Linked DNA regions of Saccharomyces cerevisiae S288C. The protein of the gene in region 2 binds, or shares a complex with, the protein of the main gene of each other region. Each region holds a gene or a part of one and is shown on either strand. Other genes may lie near its edges. The genes, in order: SEC9, SSO1, SEC17 and SNC1. A codon is read from its position in the direction of its gene.

Region 1 (5,325 bases), on a different chromosome or scaffold from region 2:
TTTACGTATACGATTCACTGGAATGTTTGTCTGAAAGGTTTTCCTTATGAAACTTACCGCTGGTGTGGTTATATTATAATTATTAAGTGTTAAAATAAATGTTTGACATTGTTCACATGATTGTTGCTCTGCTGTAAACATTTTAAATCGTGCATCCAGGAACTTTTTTTCTATGCACCTTGAAGAGGAAAGTGGTAAATTTGAACTGCTGCAGTATCAGAGTTGTAATAAACTCACTCTTTGCTATCCAAGACCTGCTTGACCGGTTCACTTTGATTAATGTATAGATTATACTCTTGGATGTAACGGATGACAGAGTTTGGAAGAAGATATTGAACTGACATTCCACGTCTGATGAAAAGCCGCACTTTCGTAGAGGAAATATCATTGTAAATAAGTTGTTTGATAATAAGGATATTTCTTCTGTGTTCATACATGATATCATGGGAAAGCAAGAAGGACCTAACATCAGAACCAGTCCTTTCCACGATCAAACATCCATAATTACCCAAAATATGGTGCAGGTCTGAATCAGCCCACACATGAGGCTCGCCCATGGATTCGATAAGATCACCGCCTGCCAATAACATGATTTTTACGCCCATTTTTTCACCATCTACAGTCATGATTCCACCTCTCTTGATATTTATTTCATGATTGAAATGGTCCAAGACTTTTGCTGTCCTTGTATAACTTGATTGTAAAGATTCCCAGGCATCAACCATTAACCAAGATGATGTCCGCTCGCATGCTAATTCGCACATGCGGACACGATGATAAGCTGGGGCTAACCCTCGCTTTTGATAGTTATCACTTACTGGAGAAAAATAACCACCAACCACTTCAAAACGCGTTTGCTCATTGATATCATCTAAAGCCATTTCAAACATTCTCAAATGTAGGTATGTTATGGGAGAAAATGATCCACAAGCAACGATGATCAGAGGCAGTTTTTCAGGATCTTGTAACTTTTTCGTCAATCTGTGTACAGGAAATTCGTAATCTTCAATAGTTCTGGCTTGTCTTACAATTGTGTGAGGAACTTCTTCCAAATCAGCAATTTGGCTCTTCAGTACCCCCAAATTCCCAGTCATCGTAACATCCTGTAGAGTAGCGTCAATTCCATTCGATTGCCCTTCACTTTCCTCCTCCGATGATACATCCCGAGATAGTGGCTGGAAGTCACTAGTATTTAATGGAATATGGTCCATTCGGTTGCTTGAGTTGGCGTTTTTTTTCCTTGACGACAGGGTTTTGTAAATGTCGAGATTGAAAGGAGCATCGATCGAAGAATTATAATCAGCTAAAACATATGGAACTATGGGTCCAGATTTTGGTATCGTATGTGTTGGATCTGGCGGTGGTTGTAGTTCTTCATTTGGCTGTGGCGGTTTAAAATCGGGTGCTTTGGTGGGATCCATTACGTAATAAGTGCACTTTTTCTTGCCTTCTCCACTTTAAACTCTCTCTCTCTCTCTACTTAACAGTGGAGGAACAGTGACTAAGGTAGAGTATGATTGTACTATAACTTACAGTCTACTGTCGTCACGCTGGGTCAATTTACATTGTTATTTTTCTTGGAGACGACACCGTCACATATGGACAGCGAGTATGGTAGATGGTATAAGCAAAAAATGGCCAGAAACAGGCGATTATTTGGTAAAACGTAAAGATTGATCAAGACGATAAGTTTGAGAGATTGTGAAGCTAAATAAAATCGTATTGCGAGTATTTTACATTCCATATACGAATAGTACGATATCCATGTGGGGTGCGACTCAGAGACTTTCTATTACCCGTCTTTCAAAAAGAAATGAGATACGTTGATCCTGCTTTTAACAATTTCGAATCGTTTGCGTAATTATATGACTTGCTCCGGTGTATAAATAAATAAAGTACATTCTTGGTACTCCTGAACCTAGCCTGGAGTAACTCGGAATAATACACCATTGACACCAAAAGAATGGGATTAAAGAAATTTTTTAAGATTAAGCCTCCAGAGGAAGCGACACCAGAACAGAACAAGGATACTTTGATGGAACTGGGTATTAGTGTCAAAAACCCTAGCAAGAAAAGAAAAGAGAAATTTGCCGCCTACGGTAAATTTGCAAATGATAAAGCTGAAGATAAGGTATACGCGCCACCAGGTTATGAGCAGTATGCTAGGCCACAGGATGAACTTGAGGATTTGAATGCTTCTCCCTTAGATGCCAATGCTAACGAGGCAACTGCTGGTTCTAATAGAGGTTCAAGTGGCACGCAAGATCTCGGAAATGGAGCAGAATCCAATTCTATGCAAGATCCGTACGCTATCGAAAATGATGATTACCGATATGATGACGATCCTTATGCAAGGTTTCAAGCTAATAAAAGTAATGGGAGAGGTAGCGTCAATGCTGCGCCTTATGGTGATTATGGAGGGGGGTACAATGGCACATCTCTGAATTCATATAATAACGATGGCCCGTATAGTAACCAAAATACTTCAAACAGCTGGGTGAATGCGAATGGCCGTAATAGTTTAAATCATTCAAACAGCACTTTAAACGTAGGGCCTTCGAGGCAAACAAGGCAACCGCCGGTTTCAACGTCGACCAACAGCTTATCGCTTGACCAAAGAAGTCCCTTAGCAAACCCGATGCAAGAAAAGAGAAATCCTTACGCTGATATGAATAGTTATGGCGGGGCGTATGACTCCAATACTAATAGATCTAGCGGTACTCGACAAGGAAGCTCCAAGAATGCAAATCCATACGCCTCTATGGCGAACGACTCATATAGTAATGGAAATTTGAACAGGTCTGCAAATCCATATTCTAGTAGAAGTGTGCGTCAACCGCAATCGCAACAAGCTCCAATGACTTATACGCCCTCTTTTATTGCTTCTGATGAAGCAGCACGCAATAGTGAAGTTGATTTAAATGAAGAACCTAGAACAGGTGAATTTGATTTTGAAGAAGTTTATGCTGACAAGTCTGCAGAAAATAGAGCGGCATTAGATGAGCCTGATTTGAATGCAGTAATGACGAATGAAGATTCAATAGATTTAAATGCGTCCGAAGTTGATCATAGTTCAAGACAGCAGCAGCAGCAACAGTGGTTCATGGATGAGCAGCAACAGCAACAGCAACACTTTAACGCAACAAATAACCAATATGGAGATCAAAGGGGTTACAAAACATTTGAAGAAATACAAAAAGAAGAGGAGGCTCGCCAGCAGCAGGAAGAAGATGAAGCAGTAGATGAAATCAAGCAGGAGATCAAATTTACGAAACAGAGTTCCGTAGCCTCTACTAGAAATACACTAAAAATGGCTCAAGACGCCGAAAGAGCAGGTATGAACACATTGGGTATGCTGGGTCATCAAAGTGAACAATTGAATAACGTAGAAGGAAACTTAGATTTAATGAAGGTGCAAAATAAAGTTGCAGATGAAAAAGTTGCAGAACTAAAAAAATTGAACCGTAGTATATTGGCTGTCCATGTTTCTAATCCGTTTAATTCCAAGAGAAGGAGAAGGGAGAGGGAAGAGCAGCTGAAGAATAGGAAAATTGAAGAAAAATTAATGAGAGAGCAAACAAGTCAACAATTGTCTCAGTCCACTCAAAGAATAGAGGGTGCTATGAACGCAAATAATAACATAAGTGAGGTGCGGGAAAGATATCAGAGGAAGAATGTTCTAGAAAAGGCAAAGAGATATCAGTTTGAGAATGATGAAGAAGATGACGAAATGGAATTGGAAATTGATAGGAATTTGGACCAGATTCAGCAGGTTAGCAACAGATTGAAGAAAATGGCCTTGACCACTGGTAAAGAATTAGACTCTCAGCAAAAACGTCTCAACAACATTGAGGAAAGCACTGATGATCTAGATATCAATCTCCATATGAATACCAACAGGTTGGCAGGTATCAGATAGAATATGCCTGTAAAAACTATGTAATATATCACAAGTAACAACATTTCATCACCATTACTACCATTATGTAGAAATTTATGAGCAAAGACAAATAAGTAAAGAAAAAGACATTGATATAATATAAGAGTATGCTTTCTTCATTTTAATGTTTGGTTGTGAATTGAAAGAATACCATTCGGGCACGCAATAGTTATGAACTTAACCGAGCTCAAATAATTTAAAGATAAAAGATAAAAGATAAAAGATAAAAGACAAAAGAAAATTCATAGCCCATGTTGAAGTATCCCAGCGGGAAATGTTGCTATCCAACAGAAAGTACCAAGCCAGTTTCAAAAAGGTACAGAATTAAGTGATGCTATCCGTCCCACAACTAATTTTCTCCAGCGGAGGAAATATACGCGGAGGGGGGGAGGAAAACCTCTCAGTAAGCAATGAAGGGATAGATAATGGGGGCGCGCCTGCCTAGCTTAGGCTAAGAAACTCCTTCGAAAACAGGGGGCTGCGAGCGCAGAAGCGAACACTTGTCATTTGTATAAAAGGACTATTTATAAGTTTGCTTTTTGTCACTCTCTTGGCCCTAATTACCCATACTATTGTAACAATTGTTGTGTAAACTCAATTATACAAATAAACGAACAATCAACAGTAACAAACCGCTCAAGTGTACAACCAATCAGAAAAAATGACGAGAACAAACAAGTGGACCGAACGTGAAGGAAAGGCTGATCCAAAGTACTTTTCGCACACTGGTAACTACGGTGAATCTCCAAATCACATCAAGAAGCAAGGTTCCGGCAAGGGTAATTGGGGTAAGCCAGGCGATGAGATTGATGACTTAATTGATAATGGTGAAATACCCCCAGTGTTCAAGAAAGATAGAAGAGGCTCAAATTTGCAATCGCATGAACAAAAGTTTGAAAACGTCCAAAAGGAATGAGGGCGTTTTCAAGATAAAAAAAGGTTTTTTGATCTCTGAAGGATAGTGGCCTTCTCCACTGATTTATATGCATCTATAGGTATATACTTGCATGCCTACTTCATGACTTATGTAATACAGTTTTCTTACATCCATTTAATTTACGTTCGAAGAAGTTTTCAACATTTGTTTATATGGACATTCCCTTTTTTTGGTTCCTCGCAATGTAAACCTCCCTTTGCGATTCCACCCTCTTCACAATAAGCTCTTTAGTCAAGTATTCACTGAATTTTCCGGCAGCAGTGAGGACAGCCGTGCCAATATGATACTTCTCGCAGTTATACTGAGACATTGAGGTGGCGTCAGCATCGATAATAACGGCATCAACATATTTACAACTTAAAACGCTCAAGACGCGTTCCTTCATCGTCATAATGGTACTCGAGTAATCGCTTGTGGTAATACCAACAATCAATTTCTTATCGGGGTG
Region 2 (4,207 bases):
TCAACACCAACAATGGAAGCGTATTTTTGAGCCATGGAGTCCAAGAAAGCCTTGGCATCAGCTTCAGAACCTAGACGAGCAGCAGGCTCGTTAGATAAAGCTACCAAAAGGACACCATCTTGTCTACCAGATGGTAGTCCCCAGCGAGTTTGTAAGTATTTTCTAGCGACAGTAATAGTAAACCCACCAGGCATCTTAGATGAGATTAATCTTGATAATAACGAGGAAGATTGCTTACCCAATGCTCCAGAGAAGGTATCTTGGAAAGTTTCTGCCAATTCTTCTAATGGAGTTTCTTCTGGTTTTTCAGGAGTAGTACCAAATTCTTTACCTAAATCACCCAAAATTTCATTTTGGACTGTAGATTTACCACCGACCAAGTCTTTGATTGTCTTGGACATTGGAATGGAATCTAACGACTTCTTCAACTTGTGAGCAACCAAAACGTGCAACAATAGGGAAGCCTTGACAGGTTCATCGGCAATCTCAGCAGCTGCTGCAGCTGGGGCTGCTGCCGCGACGGGAGCTGGGGCTGCTGCTGCAGGAGCAGGAGCACTAGCAGCTGGAGTTGGAGCAGGAGCTTCTTCCTTAGCGGGCTCTTCCTTTGCAGCTAGTTCGGATGGATCTGGGGTATAATAAATCTCTTTGGCATCCTTCGAATAGCATAAGATTTCTCTATGTAAAGACAGAGCAGCATCGTAAGATTCGTATTTATTCTTCAAGGTTCTTTGAGCCATCCCAGCCAAAGTTGGAGAAGGACCGATTTCAACAACCCTTTCAGTGTTAAAATCCTTCAAAAAAACATCTTGAGTTTCAATCCATCTCACAGGAGAGGCAAATTGATAAGCTAACAATTCAGTTAGCAAAATATGAGCTAATTCTTGCTCAACTTCCGGCTTCATAATGATGGTATTTCAATTGGTGTTGCTGTAGCCCTTTAAACGTCTAATATAGCGGTTATTAGAAAAGCACGACAGTGGTGATGTGGTCTTGTGTAACCTTCAGTTAACAAGTTATATATGAGGCATAACCGTTTAGAAACAACTGGTTATCCAACATCTGTAAACTGCCCAACAAACCGTGCCTTAGTGAGATTTCGGTCGTAACGTTACGAGGCGAATGAGGTAGCATGTGAAAACGCGGGAGATAAAAAAAAAATGGTTGGATTTTGCTAAGCGATGGGTTAGTTTGCGGGTAATGCCCAATGTATTTTTAGGAAGAGTGATATTTAAATATTGCTTGGCTAAACTAAATACACGTCCATGATTCAGTAGTAAGTTGTTGTTTTTGGCCTGCAGACCAGAGAAAATTTAGGAAATATAGTAAAGAATAGGCGAAAGTATTAAGATATATTGATATACAAAAGGGGAGTTCGGATAGAATAGAAATATAGAAAATAGTTGGAATTAACGCGTTTTGACAACGGCTGGGACAACAACGACAACAACAACGACTACAATGATGGCGAATACAATCAACCAACATCTAATCTTGTTCTTTCTTGCTTTTCTGGCACTCTTGACGGCTTTATCGGTATGACCGACACCCTGTTCTACGTCGAGTTGAGCGTCTTCAACGTTCTTGTCGATGACGTCTACGTTTTCTTGTTGTTCTATTACCAGTTCTTCCATGTCATTAAACAATTGAGTAAGTTCTGCCATGGATTTTTCTAGTTTCAATAACTCTTGGTGCCTTGCCTGGACTTCCGCAAGAGCAGTCTTGGCTTCCCCACGTCTGTTAGCATTCAACAATGCTTGTGAGAAGATCTGCTGGCCCCCTACATCGCTTATGGCTGCTTCAACTTCATCTTCGGTGGCCTCTGGTTGAATGATCATATACTGCCTCTTGGCTTGCTCTTTATTCTCCTCCTTGTAGTTGGAATCCACAATTCTGTAGTCCTGGATAAGCTTCAAAAATCTTTGTCTGGAGTTTTCCGCCTGAGCTTGCTTGTTGGTGTCATGTATCCCATCCCTTTGGGCACTTTTAATCTCATTTTTCAGTTTGAACTGCAAGTCCGTGGCTTGTGCGACGAAGTTGTCCAGGGAGTGCCTTAAGTGACTTGCTTGCTCCTCATTAACTTCGGTCAGTAGCCTCTTATGCAAAGAATCGACCTGGTTGATGGTATGGTCGTACTTATCGAGATCGCGATTGATTTGACTGATCTTATTCATGAAGCCCACGAAATCGTGGCCTTCAGCACCGATAGCGCTCGAACCTTCGTCCAACTCGTATGACTCTTCAAAAGGGGTTTCCAACTGGTACGGATTATTATAACTCATTTGATTTGTTTCTATTTTTAATTGCCTTTTTTAATTGTAAAAGGGTTTTCTTTCAAGTATACACAGATTTACCGCAAAGACCGTCACTGCGTGAGATAGACCTTTCTTTGTTCTTTACTAAAAGTTATTGGTCTTTCCCCTTGTAACTTCCACGATTTGACTTGATTTGGTTCTTGACGTCTTTACGAGAAGTAAGATCCTGCTACTTTTCTTTTTTTGTATTCGCGTTTCACAGACACTAATTTTTTCTCTTTAACGGGCAAAAACTGGATTCTCCCCCATGCGCACAGCCTGCATATCGTCTTTTGTCGTTAGTGTGTGGGAAAAGGCTGGCTCTATACTTTTTTATTTTCAGCTCTTCGTACAAAGATAAAAAAGTGTAAAAAAATGAATAAAGCCCCAGAATATAGTTATCATTTACCACGAGGTTGACTGTCTTATATGTTATTTATTCAATCCTCCTCCAGGAAGTCCATTAAGCGCTTGACCTTTTCAACGTTATATCTTACCTTGGGTAGGTCTTGCTGTGTTTGATACAATTCATTGAGTGAGGCAACGTAATCCTGCTTGATGTGCTCCCAGTTGATGTGATCATCGGCATCGTCGGTACTATCATCATGGTCAGCAGATTGTTGCTGCATCATTCTAGCTTGAAGAACGCCGATTCTCCCATCCAATTGTGCCAAATACTCATCCTTTGAGTTGTTGTAAACTTCGTTGATTTTTGCAGGCCCCGTTTGCCTCAACTGGGCCACCTTAACGGTTTCGTCTTCCCACTCTTGGTACATCTTTCTAACTTGCTCATTCAGGTCAAGGTCAAAGGGCTCCATGTACTTCTCTTGTGATTCCATGATCAATTGCTTTACCGTCTTTCCTACCGTGTCGGCGTTGACAACTTCTAGTGACTTCGAAGCCATCGTCATAGCGCTCAAAAGAAATTCTTGTAACTGTATCTGAACCTCTCTCCTAACAGCGTCATCGTCGTATTCTTTCTTCGGTAGATGCAAATCAGTTTTTTCTTCCAAGATATCATGAAACTGGTGGTATATACTTCGAAGCTGCTCAACAGTTACGTCCAGTTTTTTGGACTGACCTTGTGACATCTTCTCGTGTTACAATAATATATTTAGTGTGGTTGCTATGGGTAAGAAAGGATTTAGGCTCCGGTACACGTCTGAATAAAACTTTTTCCGCCTACTCAGCCTGCTTATTGTACTGTACCGGTTTGTTTATTTTCTTGATTCCTGCACGCACAAGGAATGGCCGCGAGTCGTCCCATCGATCTTTTTTTCTCACTATATATCATGAACGTTTATTTTGGCTGATAACAAAATATTCGTGTCAGTTGAGCCAGGTAAAAGGTTGCAGCCTAAATCAGTACTTATGTACGTACATGTGTATCTGTGTATATATTATCTATATCACTAATCGTCTTGTGCTTTCAGGCTTAAAGAGCCATTTCAAAAAGCAAGCAATTACTGGACTGCTTTTATATGTTTTCCCTCTACGGAAAAAAAAATGTAGAAACCTGTCAAAATGGTGATAAAGAAGAAGTAACTTCTTTATTTGGTATTGTTCAGGTCTGCTTATTCCTCTTCGGTTAGATGTGTTCTTTTGCGTAAAAGCAGCAGCACTTGGACAATGCGACTTTTTACCCGGTACGCAGGTACGCATATTTTTGCTAAGAAATATTCTTTAGTGAAAGAGTGATTAGTTAGAAAAAGGAACATAGATAACCTAATATTTTCTTCTTTACTCGTAAGAAAAAAAAAAATAAATATAGCAAAGCAAGAGTCGGAGGAGGAAAGGGTCCATTCTATTATTCTCTGTAAACATGTCAACGCAACTCGCAAGTAACATATATGCTCCATTGTACGCTCCCTTTTTCGGGTTCGCAGGTTGTGCAGCTGCCATGGTGCTTTCCTGTT
Region 3 (4,226 bases), on a different chromosome or scaffold from region 2:
TTGAGTTTAGTAATAGATAAAGTAGGACAGAGTTCTGTCTTTGTTTATCTATGGGGTTCAGAGTGATAAGGGGCAGGATAAGGAAGTTAAAAAAAAAAAGGTTACGTTATATAACGAAAGAAAAGAAACGAGCGAAGTGCCAACTATAGCCCAATATCAAGAATGCAAGTCAGCAAAGTACAGTAATCGTATGAAGATACGCGATGCGTAATATCCCTCAAGGGCTCCGGATCAGAAAAGCTAAGGGAAGATCCTTACATTACACGGCGTGCGACAGACTCGAACCACAGCTAACTTCTCGTGAAAAGATGGCTTCAACTTCGCTCTTGCAATAACTTTGAAACACACGAACAAAGGTTTATTGCGCTTGATTAACGTTGGAAGTATATGATACTAATACTACTTTGTTCTCTAAGTCATCGCTATATGTTTATCTCGAGGAAAAGGTGCACGGCGGTACACAATTACTTCGCCGTTTCGGGTAAAACAAGTGTTACATTTATAATATATATGTATATATGTATGTGCGCGTAAGTATATGCCGTTCATAACAAATCATCTTCTTGTTGCTGGATGGACTCCTTAATTTTATTCAAAATGGTAATTTTCCATTTATCTAGTCTCATAAAATTGTCAAACTCCTTACAGTGTTCGCTTAGCTGCTCGCTATCACCTTCATTAACAGCATCGATTAAACTTTTCAAGAAATTTGACTCCCTTGAATCCGCAAAATTCGGATCTTCACTTTGACCCTCTTGTAAAGTTCTTGCAGCAGCGACTGCATCAGTAGCAGCTAGCTGACAAAGCCCTTTTTTTAGGAAGTAATCCTTCAAACTCCATTGGCTCAATCTATTGCCCATGCTGCTCTTGATCAACTTCGAATATATATCACTTGCTTCAATATATTGACCGTCAAGAGCCTTTAGATCTGCGCATTTGATAAAACACTTATTCGATAATGCTACCGACTGGTCTTGGGCATACCACTCACCAGCGAGCTCATAGCAATCTATAGCTTTTGCATAGTCATGCAAATCATTTTCTAGAATTTCTCCAAGCTCAAACTTGAAATTAGCACCTCTCCGGAACTGCCCCCTATGAGTAAAAATTTGAATAGCATTTTCTAATGAATCCACGGCGTTCACAGAGTTTCCACCGCTTTTAAAGCATTTATAAGCCTCTACGTAGGTATTTCCTGCTTCGTCTTCATTACCAGCCTTTTTCTGATAGTCAGCAGCTTTCAAAAACGAGTCTCCTGCCAAGTTTAACTCTTTTCTTAGACGGTAAATGGTGGCTGCTTGGACACAAAGATCAGCAGCCTCCTCAAACTTGTATGAATCAGAACCGCTAAACAATTTCATGAAACCCGATGAAGGAACACCCTTCTTCTCAGCCTTAACACAACGGGAAATATCAATTCCCGTATTTCAATGTTAGTAATTTGCCTTCGTAAATTACGGAATCACATAGCTTTCATTTTGTTCCTTTGATATATTTCCCTACTACATACTCTTTTCAATAACTCTACAGGGTCTGACATTTTTAACTTTCAGGTTAATGATGGTGTTCTTACTATATTCTCGAGTCGTACAGAAGTTAGTTCAGATAAACTGCTTCGGTGCTGCCCACTTCTTATCATTACTTCAACTTTACCTTCCCTATACCTGTGTGTCCTTATTAATTCAAGTTAATCCGAGGTAATAGATTAGGGTAACCTTCAATGATGTCACGAAACACGGATGCTGCAACTTTGCGATTTTTTCCTGGAAAAGAATAACAATTAAAGGCAGCCTTTCAGCTGAGATTACCAGCAGGTCTTTGGAGATTAGCGCAAGAAGAAGTGTGATATAGTACTCATAGAGGCAGGCTACAGACTAGGGAAAGCGTGTTCAACAACAATAAGAAATGGAGACCAGTTCTTTTGAGAATGCTCCTCCTGCAGCCATCAATGATGCTCAGGATAATAATATAAATACGGAGACTAATGACCAGGAAACAAATCAGCAATCTATCGAAACTAGAGATGCAATTGACAAAGAAAACGGTGTGCAAACGGAAACTGGTGAGAACTCTGCAAAAAATGCCGAACAAAACGTTTCTTCTACAAATTTGAATAATGCCCCCACCAATGGTGCTTTGGACGATGATGTTATCCCAAATGCTATTGTTATTAAAAACATTCCGTTTGCTATTAAAAAAGAGCAATTGTTAGACATTATTGAAGAAATGGATCTTCCCCTTCCTTATGCCTTCAATTACCACTTTGATAACGGTATTTTCAGAGGACTAGCCTTTGCGAATTTCACCACTCCTGAAGAAACTACTCAAGTGATAACTTCTTTGAATGGAAAGGAAATCAGCGGGAGGAAATTGAAAGTGGAATATAAAAAAATGCTTCCCCAAGCTGAAAGAGAAAGAATCGAGAGGGAGAAGAGAGAGAAAAGAGGACAATTAGAAGAACAACACAGATCGTCATCTAATCTTTCTTTGGATTCTTTATCTAAAATGAGTGGAAGCGGAAACAATAATACTTCTAACAATCAATTATTCTCGACTCTAATGAACGGCATTAATGCTAATAGCATGATGAACAGTCCAATGAATAATACCATTAACAATAACAGTTCTAATAACAACAATAGTGGTAACATCATTCTGAACCAACCTTCACTTTCTGCCCAACATACTTCTTCATCGTTGTACCAAACAAACGTTAATAATCAAGCCCAGATGTCCACTGAGAGATTTTATGCGCCTTTACCATCAACTTCCACTTTGCCTCTCCCACCCCAACAACTGGACTTCAATGACCCTGACACTTTGGAAATTTATTCCCAATTATTGTTATTTAAGGATAGAGAAAAGTATTATTACGAGTTGGCTTATCCCATGGGTATATCCGCTTCCCACAAGAGAATTATCAATGTTTTGTGCTCGTACTTAGGGCTAGTAGAAGTATATGATCCAAGATTTATTATTATCAGAAGAAAGATTCTGGATCATGCTAATTTACAATCTCATTTGCAACAACAAGGTCAAATGACATCTGCTCATCCTTTGCAGCCAAACTCCACTGGCGGCTCCATGAATAGGTCACAATCTTATACAAGTTTGTTACAGGCCCATGCAGCAGCTGCAGCGAATAGTATTAGCAATCAGGCCGTTAACAATTCTTCCAACAGCAATACTATTAACAGTAATAACGGTAACGGTAACAATGTCATCATTAATAACAATAGCGCCAGCTCAACACCAAAAATTTCTTCACAGGGACAATTCTCCATGCAACCAACACTAACCTCACCTAAAATGAACATACACCATAGTTCTCAATACAATTCCGCAGACCAACCGCAACAACCTCAACCACAAACACAGCAAAATGTTCAGTCAGCTGCGCAACAACAACAATCTTTTTTAAGACAACAAGCTACTTTAACACCATCCTCAAGAATTCCATCCGGTTATTCTGCCAACCATTATCAAATCAATTCCGTTAATCCCTTACTGAGAAATTCTCAAATTTCACCTCCAAATTCACAAATCCCAATCAACAGCCAAACCCTATCCCAAGCGCAACCACCAGCACAGTCCCAAACTCAACAACGGGTACCAGTGGCATACCAAAATGCTTCATTGTCTTCCCAGCAGTTGTACAACCTTAACGGCCCATCTTCAGCAAACTCACAGTCCCAACTGCTTCCACAGCACACAAATGGCTCAGTACATTCTAATTTCTCATATCAGTCTTATCACGATGAGTCCATGTTGTCCGCACACAATTTGAATAGTGCCGACTTGATCTATAAATCTTTGAGTCACTCTGGACTAGATGATGGCTTGGAACAGGGCTTGAATCGTTCTTTAAGCGGACTGGATTTACAAAACCAAAACAAGAAGAATCTATGGTAATATATACTTCCATTATTCTATGATTATAGAGTTTGTTTGGTATTTGTATATCGCACGATACAAGTAATGAGGGGTGCTTACACAAGATAAAAGATAAAAAAATATATATATATAATAAAAACCATCAAAAACACCATTGAAAAAAAATATAAAAAAAAAAAAAAATAACCGAATATGAATATGAAATTAATGATCATGATGAAGTTAATTTTTACTGAGAAACGTCACCTAATGTCGATGAAACGATGATAATGAATGAATGATGAGGCTACTTTAAGTAACGCAATGTAATCAAGCCAAAATTATCCCTCTTT
Region 4 (3,513 bases), on a different chromosome or scaffold from region 2:
GCTAAATTATTCACATTCTTAAATGAATTTGATGCTGTCTTGTGTAAATTTCAAGTTGTTGACTCAATGCATACAAAAATTTTTAACGACACCCTGAAGTATCTGAACGTAATGCTATTTAATGACCTAATAACCAAATGTCCCGCGTTAAATTGGAAGTATGGGTACGAAGTGGATAGAAATATCGAGCGGTTGGTGAGCTGGTTTGAACCAAGAATTGAAGACGTTCGTCCCAATTTGATTCAAATAATTCAGGCTGTCAAGATATTACAGTTGAAGATAAGCAACTTGAACGAGTTCAAGTTACTATTCGATTTCTGGTATGCCTTGAATCCAGCCCAAATACAAGCAATTCTGTTGAAATACAAGCCTGCTAACAAGGGCGAAGCTGGAGTACCGAACGAAATCTTGAATTATTTAGCTAACGTGATCAAAAGAGAAAATCTGTCTTTGCCAGGGAAGATGGAAATTATGCTTTCTGCCCAATTTGACTCTGCTAAAAACCATCTGCGTTATGACACTAGTGCAATAACACAGAACAGCAATACAGAGGGCTTAGCTACTGTCAGTAAAATTATAAAATTAGACAGAAAATAAGAACAAAGTAAATATACGCCCATATATGTATATATGTATATATACATATATCCTACACTACATATGGAAGCTCCCTATATATATAGCATTGCGAGTGAACTTCTATCGACTAAAGTGAACAGCAATGGGGACGATGATTACAACAAGCAATATGATGATTACTAAAGCCAGACACATCTTCATTTTTAGATCCTTGTACCACATGGCTTTTCTGACCCTATTGGCACCCCTCTTAAAGCCTTGGGCTGAGACCGCTAGGTTATCGGCTTTATCTTCAATGGACGTTAATCTTTCACCTCTTTCTGCTACTTTATTTATGTTATCTCTCATTATTCCCACGGTATCATCAATTTCCTAAAAATAAACACGAAGAACGTATATGAATGTATACGCATAAGTATCAACGATGTAGAAAGTTAGTATAATGTTAATTTCCTAGATGGTACTCTGTGGCTTTCTGTACTTACAGCTTGTAGTTCCGCAGTCCTTGACTTAGACTGTACATTCTGGGGTCGTTCTTCATCGTGCTCGGATAGAGCATAAGGGTCAAAGGGAGTAGATGACGACATGGACAATGAATACGTTGCGCTTGCTATGTCTTTGGCGCAAATTTTCAATGTTTAACTAATACTTTTGACGATCTTTCTTATAGATGCTGTGGGAAAGACCCTTAAAAATGTCTGTTACCCTGCAATCAATGGTTGAAACAGCAGGAAGACGCATAATAAAGGCATATGTTTGAAGTTTGTTAGCGAATGAACAATGATAAAAGGAGTGATTGGAAGCTGAAGGTTGAGGATTTAGACTAGTTTTATATTACAACATGGTAGATGTGCAAAAGAGAAAAAAGTTGCTAGCCAAAGCTGCTGCCAGCGCTTCTATTCCGGCAATCAAAGGTTCTGTTCCGTTGGACTCGTATGATATAAAAATCATTCAATATAAGAACGCTCTTTACAAGCTGAATGAACTGAATAGGCTACTAAACGTTCTGGTACCGCATTTGAAGAAGAAAAGAGACAATGACGAGTCCTACAAAATTATTCCCCTCGTTAATTTCATCTTATCACTTTGTGAGGGTCCTATATTTAATGTAAGCCCCGTATTGGCTAAGAGGTACCATTTGCTCTGTCGATTCCAGCTGATAAAGCTAAGCGAAGTGCAGCAGAGATTATCAACTAATTTTATTGATGTAGAGGGCTGGATGTTTCCCGAGGAGGTACCCCTAGATCACTATAAATCGTGCATATACAATAATTCTCTACAATGGAAGATTTTAAATTCGCTGTCTTGCATTGCTCAAAATGCTATAAAAATTTATAATGCCAAGTTGAGACAGATTTTATTGGAAAGGGATGCGTACAAAGCTCGGTCACTTCCATTTGACACTTCAATAATTGAAGACTTGTTAAATCCAGTTGAAATGACATTGATTCTAGATTTAGCCGTTTTGATTAATGATCCAGTAAGGGATAAGTCCACCCATTCCTTTTACAAATTGCAATGGCAAGTGATGGAGAAACTGAACTCCTGTGTTCATTCGAAAATCTTCCCCATTCTAAGGACATATTACAACCAATTGCAGAAATTTTCGGAAACAAGACCTACTTCACTGTCAAATTTACAGAAGGATCTACCACATTGGGAATGGACTCTACACAGGATATACACTTTCCACTTGCGGGTTTTTTCTGTCTTGTGTGTTATTATCAGTTTCTCTAGGCAAATTTTCCTACCGAATAAACAACATTTCTTGGACATCAAGACAAGATTATCCAGCGAAAACGTGTACCATTACGATTTGATAATTTGTGAGCTGATGGCTTTGCTCTCTCCAGAATGTGATGATGTCACAGCTTTATTCGAACTGCAGGAGAATTTAAAATTTTGGACTCAAACGGCGCGTACCGATAACAATTCCTCAAGAACTCCCATTTTCCACCTTCAACCTGGTTTAGTTGTGGAATTGTTTAATAATCATATCTGCAAGATTATACCGAAATTGAGGTCCATTATGGGATTATTATCCAATTGGATGGATTGCTGGAAATATATTGAGAAAAATTATAAAACCTTCGATGAAACCAATGACTTGCGGGAGAATTTGAAAGAAAAGCTAGAAAGAGATAAGGCTCTGTATTTAGAGGTTAAAAACGCGAAAAGTAAGCTAAAGAAGAAGCCGTCAATAACAAAGCTGCCAGCCTCTTCTTCTCCATCCCCCTCACCCACATCTTCAGCAAGCCCATCAAGACAGGCCTCTTTAGAGAGCATAAGAACAAGGGCAAGGGCGCATTTAGCCTCAAATTCTTCTAGGTCTCCCTCAGTATCGCCTGTAAGGACCACTTTCAACAATAAAAACGCAGAAACGAAGAAAAGCGTGGTGTCTCCGGAGAAAAGAAAACTGATCAACGGCAGAAGGCCTAGATCCTCATCTTTGCAATCCTATACAAACAAACAACAAACCTCATATTTGAATTCTACAAGACATCCGTCAATAGCTCCACCTTCAAAGCTCAACAATCAAAGGTCCAATTCTTTGCAGTCCTCAACCATGACGTTAAATCAAAAAATCGTCCAAGATACAGTGCGGCATTTGATGAACAAAAGTGCATCTACACCCAATCCTTCTGCATCTTCATCGTTAGCGCCTTCACCAAAAGTATCCAGTATAAACAACACCTCCTCAGGAAAATCATCAAGTACCCTGATTGCCAATAGTAGTGATACTTTGGCTATAGAGACATTAACTCTAGATCCGGAGTCAAACTCCAGTGAATTGTCCATCAAAAGGGTGAGATTTGCTGGTGTACCGCCAATGACAGAGGCAGAAAATCCTAAACCAACAAAGGTGGGTTGGTACAAGAAGCCGGCTGTGCTACATTATCCGCCAATACCTGCTTCGGCAATGATCAAGCCGCT

The links.
Region 1: the proteins of SSO1 (region 2) and SEC9 are in contact, whole or in part, in a cryo-EM structure (PDB 9CRU), measured with the Saccharomyces cerevisiae proteins. Residues at the interface, in NP_015092.1 of Saccharomyces cerevisiae: Glu185 (codon at 1,727), Ala186 (codon at 1,724), Ala189 (codon at 1,715), Leu190 (codon at 1,712), Val193 (codon at 1,703), Gln194 (codon at 1,700), Arg196 (codon at 1,694), His197 (codon at 1,691), Leu200 (codon at 1,682), Leu201 (codon at 1,679), Glu204 (codon at 1,670), Met207 (codon at 1,661), Ala208 (codon at 1,658), Leu210 (codon at 1,652), Thr211 (codon at 1,649), Phe214 (codon at 1,640), Asn215 (codon at 1,637), Met217 (codon at 1,631), Glu218 (codon at 1,628), Val221 (codon at 1,619), Gln224 (codon at 1,610), Gln225 (codon at 1,607), Val228 (codon at 1,598), Asp229 (codon at 1,595), Ile231 (codon at 1,589), Asp232 (codon at 1,586), Val235 (codon at 1,577), Glu236 (codon at 1,574), Ala238 (codon at 1,568), Gln239 (codon at 1,565); in NP_011523.3 of Saccharomyces cerevisiae: Ile433 (codon at 3,260), Thr436 (codon at 3,269), Lys437 (codon at 3,272), Ser439 (codon at 3,278), Ser440 (codon at 3,281), Ala442 (codon at 3,287), Ser443 (codon at 3,290), Thr444 (codon at 3,293), Asn446 (codon at 3,299), Thr447 (codon at 3,302), Met450 (codon at 3,311), Ala451 (codon at 3,314), Ala454 (codon at 3,323), Ala457 (codon at 3,332), Gly458 (codon at 3,335), Asn460 (codon at 3,341), Thr461 (codon at 3,344), Met464 (codon at 3,353), Leu465 (codon at 3,356), His467 (codon at 3,362), Gln468 (codon at 3,365), Gln471 (codon at 3,374), Leu472 (codon at 3,377), Asn474 (codon at 3,383), Val475 (codon at 3,386), Asn478 (codon at 3,395), Leu479 (codon at 3,398), Leu481 (codon at 3,404), Met482 (codon at 3,407), Gln485 (codon at 3,416).
Region 3: the proteins of SSO1 (region 2) and SEC17 are in contact, whole or in part, in a cryo-EM structure (PDB 9CRU), measured with the Saccharomyces cerevisiae proteins. Residues at the interface, in NP_015092.1 of Saccharomyces cerevisiae: Leu201 (codon at 1,679), Glu204 (codon at 1,670), Lys205 (codon at 1,667), Ala208 (codon at 1,658), Thr211 (codon at 1,649), Asn215 (codon at 1,637), Glu218 (codon at 1,628), Glu219 (codon at 1,625), Ile222 (codon at 1,616), Glu223 (codon at 1,613), Glu226 (codon at 1,604), Val230 (codon at 1,592), Asn234 (codon at 1,580); in NP_009503.1 of Saccharomyces cerevisiae: Arg114 (codon at 1,085), Ser153 (codon at 968), Ala155 (codon at 962), Leu156 (codon at 959), Lys159 (codon at 950), Leu193 (codon at 848), Trp196 (codon at 839), Ser197 (codon at 836), Arg236 (codon at 719), Asn265 (codon at 632), Phe266 (codon at 629), Met267 (codon at 626).
Region 4: the proteins of SSO1 (region 2) and SNC1 are in contact, whole or in part, in a crystal structure (PDB 3B5N), measured with the Saccharomyces cerevisiae proteins. Residues at the interface, in NP_015092.1 of Saccharomyces cerevisiae: Glu199 (codon at 1,685), Leu200 (codon at 1,682), Lys202 (codon at 1,676), Leu203 (codon at 1,673), Ser206 (codon at 1,664), Met207 (codon at 1,661), Glu209 (codon at 1,655), Leu210 (codon at 1,652), Leu213 (codon at 1,643), Phe214 (codon at 1,640), Asp216 (codon at 1,634), Met217 (codon at 1,631), Leu220 (codon at 1,622), Val221 (codon at 1,619), Gln224 (codon at 1,610), Asn227 (codon at 1,601), Val228 (codon at 1,598), Val230 (codon at 1,592), Ile231 (codon at 1,589), Asn234 (codon at 1,580), Val235 (codon at 1,577), Ala238 (codon at 1,568), Asp241 (codon at 1,559), Val242 (codon at 1,556), Gln244 (codon at 1,550), Gly245 (codon at 1,547), Val246 (codon at 1,544), His248 (codon at 1,538), Thr249 (codon at 1,535), Lys251 (codon at 1,529); in NP_009372.1 of Saccharomyces cerevisiae: Thr29 (codon at 1,082), Leu32 (codon at 1,073), Gln33 (codon at 1,070), Ile36 (codon at 948), Asp37 (codon at 945), Thr39 (codon at 939), Val40 (codon at 936), Met43 (codon at 927), Arg44 (codon at 924), Asn46 (codon at 918), Ile47 (codon at 915), Val50 (codon at 906), Arg53 (codon at 897), Gly54 (codon at 894), Leu57 (codon at 885), Thr58 (codon at 882), Ile60 (codon at 876), Glu61 (codon at 873), Ala64 (codon at 864), Asp65 (codon at 861), Leu67 (codon at 855), Ala68 (codon at 852), Ala71 (codon at 843), Gln72 (codon at 840), Phe74 (codon at 834), Lys75 (codon at 831), Ala78 (codon at 822), Asn79 (codon at 819), Val81 (codon at 813), Arg82 (codon at 810).

The regions. Positions count from the first base shown.
Region 1 is NC_001139.9:507,641-512,965, reverse strand, and holds SEC9 (Sec9p), read left to right. Parts: upstream 1-1,963; coding exon 1,964-3,919; downstream 3,920-5,325. Other genes in the region: nicotinamide-nucleotide adenylyltransferase NMA2, read right to left, coding at 234-1,421; STF2 (ATPase-stabilizing factor family protein), read left to right, coding at 4,602-4,856; ECT1 (ethanolamine-phosphate cytidylyltransferase), read right to left, coding at 5,026-5,325. UniProt on the Saccharomyces cerevisiae protein: Component of a SNARE complex that may be the effector of SEC4 function in exocytosis.
Region 2 is NC_001148.4:105,347-109,553, reverse strand, and holds SSO1 (syntaxin), read right to left. Parts: upstream 2,280-4,207; coding exon 1,407-2,279; downstream 1-1,406. Other genes in the region: trifunctional fatty acid synthase subunit FAS2, read right to left, coding at 1-902; MIND complex subunit NSL1, read right to left, coding at 2,732-3,382; VMA11 (H(+)-transporting V0 sector ATPase subunit c'), read left to right, coding at 4,114-4,207. UniProt on the Saccharomyces cerevisiae protein: Required for vesicle fusion with the plasma membrane.
Region 3 is NC_001134.8:122,439-126,664, reverse strand, and holds SEC17 (alpha-soluble NSF attachment protein SEC17), read right to left. Parts: upstream 1,541-4,226; coding exon 1,511-1,540; intron 1,395-1,510; coding exon 546-1,394; downstream 1-545. Other genes in the region: PIN4 (Pin4p), read left to right, coding at 1,906-3,912. UniProt on the Saccharomyces cerevisiae protein: SNARE complex protein that binds to cis-SNARE complexes on membranes and is required for vesicular transport between the endoplasmic reticulum and the Golgi apparatus and for homotypic vacuole fusion.
Region 4 is NC_001133.9:84,939-88,451, reverse strand, and holds SNC1 (SNAP receptor SNC1), read right to left. Parts: upstream 1,167-3,513; coding exon 1,065-1,166; intron 952-1,064; coding exon 700-951; downstream 1-699. Other genes in the region: MYO4 (myosin 4), read left to right, coding at 1-597; protein phosphatase regulator GIP4, read left to right, coding at 1,421-3,513. UniProt on the Saccharomyces cerevisiae protein: SNC1 and SNC2 are vesicle-targeting proteins essential for normal secretory traffic between the Golgi and the plasma membrane. They may also be involved in vesicle fusion.